Oryzias latipes: one gene and its partner. The protein of the gene in region 1 interacts with the protein of each later gene in a pairwise test. Links are inferred from orthologs where the notes say so. Each region holds a gene or a part of one and is shown on either strand. Other genes may lie near its edges.

What was found. The genes of interacting proteins can lie anywhere in the genome.
Region 2: the proteins of rab3il1 (region 1) and rab11a interact in a two-hybrid assay, tested with the Homo sapiens proteins (2 studies listed by BioGRID and IntAct). The two-hybrid records come from large-scale screens. The link is inferred for Oryzias latipes from reciprocal best matches to the Homo sapiens genes RAB3IL1 and RAB11A.

The regions. Positions count from the first base shown.
Region 1 is NC_019864.2:15,776,802-15,779,544, forward strand, and holds the end of rab3il1 (guanine nucleotide exchange factor for Rab-3A), read right to left. Parts: intron 2,374-2,743; coding exon 2,245-2,373; intron 2,169-2,244; coding exon 2,056-2,168; intron 1,833-2,055; coding exon 1,818-1,832; intron 1,510-1,817; coding exon 1,410-1,509; intron 1,315-1,409; coding exon 1,248-1,314; intron 1,173-1,247; coding exon 1,087-1,172; 3' UTR 559-1,086; downstream 1-558. UniProt on the Homo sapiens protein: Guanine nucleotide exchange factor (GEF) which may activate RAB3A, a GTPase that regulates synaptic vesicle exocytosis. Promotes the exchange of GDP to GTP, converting inactive GDP-bound Rab proteins into their active GTP-bound form.
Region 2 is NC_019861.2:431,337-435,623, reverse strand, and holds the start of rab11a (ras-related protein Rab-11A), read right to left. Parts: upstream 2,915-4,287; 5' UTR 2,753-2,914; coding exon 2,713-2,752; intron 171-2,712; coding exon 1-170. UniProt on the Homo sapiens protein: The small GTPases Rab are key regulators of intracellular membrane trafficking, from the formation of transport vesicles to their fusion with membranes.

The DNA of each region.
Region 1 (2,743 bases):
AGAGTGGAAGCCGATTCCATCCGGAACCTAAAAGTCTTAGTGTTTGTTTCAAAATAGAGATTTTGAGACTTTAAATCTCCTCTGAGGGATTTTGGTGTTACCTTGTTGTTTCATGAGCCTCCTACCTGCTTACAAACCTGTTGGGCAACTGTGTGTGTGTGAGTCAGGGCAACCAGGCAATGACCTTTCTAATACCACGTCAGGGAATCTAACACTTCCGATTGTGATCTAAAAATAACACCAACTACATAAGTCAGTCAGGCTTTGATGCCTTGCTTTTAATGGAACACAGTTACTAATATCCTTACAAGTTATTTTTATTGCTCTAATACAAACTTTTTCATTTTTTACCATCAAAACACTTTAAAAAATGTTTCCAGCCAAGCCGAATGTATAGCAGGTTACTTTTCATAGTGTCATATGGCTGTGTTTACCTTTTGTTCAATTTACTTGATGGCTTTTGGTGTACTGTTCACTACATGTTATAAAAGCTTGTTTTTCTACTATGTCAATCTGTGAGATATTGGGATTTCATGGTGATATCTATTTGGGATAAACTTTTTTTTTGGCAAAAAGGCAAAATACAGGTATTTTGTTTTATGTTTTTGTATAAGAAGGCACAGTGAAGGCCATGCTGAGAAAGAAACTCTTAGCGGCCATGTTTTGTATTCAGAATAATTTCAGTAAGAAAAAGTTTTCCTGAGGTGGCTGAACAAGGAAAAACCCAGAAGAACTATATGGATAGTCTTTCAGAGCCTGAAGTGTGATAAATAGTTCATCTTTAGTCTTAACAATGAAATGTTTCGAATATTTTATAACACCACAGAAGTGAATCACTGGAGAACAACAGTAGCACATTATTCAGAATCAGTGAGTGTTCTAGAATTTCCTTAATCTTAAGTTTCCTGTGCTTCTTTTTTTTTATTTAACAAATTCTTTTTCCCTTGTTGGGTGACCTTTCCTTCAGCATAAATATTACAAAAAGCTAATCAAACATCTGCATGTTGGCACAACTTTTCCTGATTATAAGTGATTTATTGGGGCTCGTGTGATCACACTGCTATCTGCCGAGTGTTTGGTGGACCTCTAGCCCTGGTCAGTGAGGTAGAAGCCTAGCTTGGCCACAGCCATCTCTCTGCGAAGACGCATCACCTCCCAGAACATTTGCTCCGCTGGAAAAAAAGGCAATCAAAGCTGTCAGCTGGACGATCAAACAAAGAGTTAGGAAAGCAGTAAGTCCAACTTACCATCATGTCTTACCAGGCCCTGCTGGATGTACCGGATATAGGTAAAAAAGTTGCAAACAGTTGTGATCTGTAAAAATGTGAACAGAACTCGCATTTGGTTTTACTTCACAACAACACCAGTCACTTTTAGGATAAAATTCACAGAGAAATCTTAATGCTCACTCGCGCACGGCTCGACGGAGAGATGTAATAGTACGTGCCCTTGTCACCCAGTTTGATGCGATGTTGGCAGGCCCGTGACAGGCCACTTAATGCACATTTTCTATAAACAGAGGTCAACAGTCAAGAATGGAGGTGCAAACAAGTTTGCACTTTTTCTTTAGATGTTTAGTAATAAAACTATTGGAAAACTGGCAGTTAAGGAAACTAGAATAGAAAAAGGTTCAAAACCCAGGTTAGTCACAAAAAGACCAAAGATATGCACGTTAATGCAAAAGCAGACGCATAAAATCATTAGTTTGCATTCTTTTAAAGTCTGAAACACATTCTGTACGGTAGGATCCAGCTCAGATCACAGTCATGTGGATTAGTGAAAGTTTGATCGAATGATAGATTCCTGACTGGACTTACGTTTCTACTGCAGCCCTATAACCACAGAAAAAGAGAGGGGTTTTTTTAGATCAAAAAGAAGATTAGGCGTATGGCCAATGATTCACACACTACTATTGTGACAGTGAAAGGACCACACTGATAAATGACCAGTGGATGAGCAAAGGCCACCAAAAGAGTGAACACCCAAGGTTGATTTGGCTATTTAGAAGTGAATAGGGGGACTAAAAAAGGGTCATTAAAGGTATGGGTAACTCACCTTGGGCCTCCGCACTCTATAAAAGAGGCTTTGATCATCGGCAGAGCTGGTATGGCCACAGGCTCAATGGTAAGAGAATTGCTCTCCACTGCACCCTGAACCAGCTGGGACAGCTGTAGGAAAACACCAGCACGGGTATCAGTACTACTTCACACATCAATTTAAGACTGTGCAAAGAAGCATTCTGACCTCTGATCTTGTGAAGGATAGGCAAGGTCCAATGTCTTCTCTGTAAACGCGGCTCAAAAAGGCAGAGGATCGGTCCAGACTGGGACATTCCCTCCACAACAAAAACTCTGTATACAGAATTGAGTCCATCTGCAAACAGGAAATAGAAACTCGGTGGCACAACTCCTTTAACTTCAAAAACATAAGAGTGAAAGTAACAGGAAAAATAGAAAACAGACAATTACAATTATCTGTAAACCAAGGTTGAATGATGTAAAGAATCTATGGCTACGTTCACAATGCAGGCTGAAACAACCCAGTTCCGATTTTTTTGCCCCTTTGCGACCTGTATCTGATCTTTTCATGACAGTCTGCACGACACAGATCCGATCTTTTCAAATGTGACCCAGGCTACTTGGGTATGTGGTCCTGAATCCGATACGTATCCGATCTTTTAAAATGCGACCCCTGTCTGAACGGCCAGGACACATGTATCCGACTTGTACGTCATTGATACGCT
Region 2 (4,287 bases), on another chromosome or scaffold:
CTGACCGGCAGTGTCCCAGATCTGGGCCTTCACCGTCTTGCCATCCACCTGGATGCTGCGCGTGGCAAACTCCACCCCAATGGTGCTCTTACTCTCCAAGTTGAACTCGTTGCGGGTAAAGCGGGACAACAGGTTACTCTTTCCTACGCCGGAGTCACCAATCAGGACCACTGAGGACCAAAGAGGAGGCAGGTAAGAAAAGCCATCGTTTTCCCTCTAAAGGTCATCCTCAGCCCGGGCTAAAGGCTGACAGGGAACAAAAGTATGAAATGGAAATAAACGAGTCCTGATGCATGACAGCGTTTCTCAGGTGTAACTTTTAGCATTTTGTTCTTCACTTTCAATGGGATCTACAGAGTTTAAGTCAGCTATTAAGTTTTCTTTGTAAGGTTTTCTATAGTTACAAACAGACAAGTTTGTGGACAGCTCCAGTATCACTGCAGGCCCTCAACCATAGACCTTTGGTCACTTTAGATAGTTACTCTTTAAATTCAGTCCACTTCTCTGACATCACCAAAGAAACGCCCGTCTGGCCTCATAAGCAGCTCTTAAAACAAACAGGCTAACCCAACTTTAAAGACTGGGCCAAACCTGACTGACTGCAATAAAGCCCAGAATTCTGCACAAACTGCAGGTTCGTGCAGGTGAACTGAAGCTGGTCCTGCTGCCAGGGCAGAGGTCAGCTTAACACCTCCTCATTATCCAGTCTCTTCAATATCTCTGGTTCTCCTGAAGTTTTAACGCTGCAGTCACTCCCCTGGTGCTAAGGTTACAATTACTGACCGTTTCTGTTCCAGCAGAACAGTTCAGAATTCTCTGGGTTTTGGTTGTTTTCAGCCAGAAACACCATCAGGGAGGTCAGAAGCTATCTGCCCACTTCTGCTGCTACATTTACATTTACGGTCAGCAGAGCTTCAGAGCTACGTTACGACTACAGTAAAGACCTCCAACAATCATTTACTCGCTGCCTCATTCAAAACGACGTTTCCATTTTCATCCTGGAAGGATGTCAGCAGACGGGAATGAAACAGACAGTTGAGCCGCCATCGCCCCGTCAGCCCGTCAGGCTTCATTCGTAGCGCCGTCATGCTCACAGTGCTGGACACCAAGACAAAGAATTAAACAAGCACATTCATGTCAAAATAATTCCAACCCTCTTTCCCCCAAAAGCCCAACAAGTAACCCCACACATGATCTTAAAAATTAAAATACTGAATAAAACCAAAGAACACGTATACAAGGAATACCGAAAGGTGTTTTTCATTTTCCAGTGTAAATAAATGGAAAACTTTCTATTCATTTAGCAGCCAAGGAGGCTGATGGTTCAAACTTCATCTCCTTTAACTAAACATGGCTGACATCTGGGATGTTGTGATGCGAAGTGTCGTCTCGTCAGCAATAACATTTCTGTTCAGTCCAAATACTGCACATCCGTTTTATGGAACGCCCAATCAGAGGCCGGCTTTGAAGCCCCTGGATCTACCAAAAGCTCCAAAGTCAAAGGCTGGAGTAGAACAGAATATCTGGCAGGTCGTCATGGACTGGACCCGTGTTATGAAAGTTACCTCCAAACTGTAATCCTTCACAGATTACCAGTTATTTTGTAAAAGAATGACCTGTTTCCTGACAATACTACAGCCTCAAAATGCCTTTTGTTGACTTTTATGTCACTTTCTTTGCAAGACTTGCAGACCACAACCTGTTTCACACTTGGATGGTTTAATAGTGTTGATTTTTGAACTTCATTTGATAAAAATGAAAGTGTAGCTTATCTAGTTTGAGAGAAGCAGAACCGGAGAACAATATGCTTTTGAAAGACTAAAATCAAAAACACTAATGACAGACGTTTACCAGGACACAGAAACTACACACACACACACATATGTGTGCCAAAAGAAGCCCAACAGGAAATTCAATTTAGTAAACAAGTCCGACTAAAATATTACACATAAAAACATGAAAATCAAAGTTTTAAGTGGAATTTTTCATCTATAATTGCCTTGTGCTGCTGTCATCATTACCTTTGGGTAGAGTCTGTGGTAAATCAATAACTAATGGGTAAAATGTCACAATATTAATTAATAATTCCTTGCTCTACTAGTAATAAGTTACACAATAATTACTTTTTGATTGAAGGATTTCCTTTAAACAGCTGGATGCCGTGTCCAACCATGGAAGATTACAGGGAATCGAACATCTTTCCACCTTCATGTATTCTACCGGCCGACCAGCATCACAACAACAACAGCCGCTTTACTGCTTTTATATTTTTGTGGAAAACTAAAGCAAAAGATAATAGTAGCCTTCAAAAATATACTATTGACTTTGGTTTTACACTGTCTGAATAAATGACAGACAGATTGATTCAAGTTCAATGACGGACGAGCTGGACCCGTCAGTACACTAACACACTCGGTACCGGCCCCATTTGGATCAAACGCGATAACGGTTAGGTGTGTCCCGCGCGCCTCCGGTCAGCGGGCTAGCACCGGGGGCTAACACCGGCTAACCTTAGCTAGTACTCCTCGGCAGACAAAGAGCCGCCTCCCCGGCGCTGGGTGGAGGCCGCATCACAGGCGGCATGCGCGCCGAACCCCCCCGGGAAGCCCGAAAGGGCCTGTGGCGGCACGAAGCATGAGTTCGGTTCCGTTAGCCTGTCAGCTGATCCCCGGGCCGTTAGCCCGACCGCTAAACGAAACAAACGCACCTCACCTTTGAATAAATAGTCGTATTCGTCATCCCTGGTGCCCATCGTCCTCGCGTTAATCCGAACTGCAGTTATCTTAAAGACTAAATGCGTTTCTGTCTTTCTTTTTGGGTTATTTTTTGTTTTCTTTTTTACTTTTCCGTCAGGAACTGAAGGAGAAGATCAACTTCCGCAAGTTCTTCTTCCTTCAAGCAGCGCCCCCTTCCTGGGAAAGGTGACGCCTGGCGGCGGTACAGGGAACTGCTGTTTGTTTGTTTATTTGTCTGGTTCATTTGTTTGTTTGTTTTAATTTGTTTGGGGTTTTTTAAATCTTTTTTGTTGTTGTTTTTTAAGGAAGGATCCTTTCTGAGATAAATTACTGTGTCTAAGAAGGAAAAAAATATTTTTAATTCTGCAAAATAAAAAGACAAGGAGGTGAAGTGCTTCCTTTAGTACTGGATCTCCTCGCAAGGGATAACTTGGGAAATCCATTGGAAAAATGCAGACAATAATTCCATCTCACAGCATCAAAAGTAGAGATATAATTGACTGTTTACAATCAAAATGTAGGAAGCACAAAAGAACCAAAGACAATAAGTAAATGATTTTTCTGTTGTAATAAATCATATTGCATTGATTTACTTTGAAGGTATTGTTGATTGATCCTTTTTAAGAAAAACAGCAAAAACACAAGTGACTGAACTAACATCTCTCTGCTCTTTGGTCCTTGTAGGGCTTGGTATCTCCAATGGCAACTATTGTTGGTGAAGTCAAGCTTCTTTCATCTTCGCCAACTTGCCAAGGTAAAACCTTTTTTAACAGCTGCACATTTTGAAACAGTAATCCAGGCGTTCATCACGTCCCGGCTGGATTACTGTAATTCTCTGTATGTTGGACTCAGCCAGTCGTCTCTCTCACGTCTCCAACGTGTTCAAAATGCAGCTGCCCGTCTTCTGGTTGGAGGACGTAAGAGAGACCACATCACGCCAATTTTAGCTTCGCTCCACTGGCATCCTGTGAATTTTAGAGTTCACTTTAAGATTCTTTTATTTGTTTTTAAATCTTTACATGATCTTGCCCCGCTGTACCTCTCTGAACTTCTCTCTCCCTATTCGCCGGCCTGGTGCCTCCGATCAGCTGATCAGCTGCTTCTGGAGGTACCGAGGTCCAGATGAAGCTCAGAGGGGACAGAGCTTTTTCTGTTGCTGCTCCAAAGCTTTGGAACTCTCTGCCACTGTCAGTAAGAGAAGCTCCATCACTGTCCATTTTTAAAACACGCCTGAAAACCCATTTTTATGCTCTGGCTTTTAATATGACATGAGACTTCTGTTATTGCTGTGTTGCTGTACTGGTTTTTATTGTTTTATCTCTCTATTTTTAATCTTGTGTTTTAAGATGTTTTAGTGTTTGTTTTCTTCTTTTTCTCGTGTTCAGCACTTTGTGTCGGCGGCTGTTGACTGAAAGTGCTATATAAATAAAGATGAGTTGAGTTGAGTTGAGTTGAGTTGCCATACATACGATGACTCAGAGCGACTTGGACCAATCACTGTCGACTGGTTTCAACATGGCGTTGCCCGTTTTAGGAAGCAATTGAGAAGGGT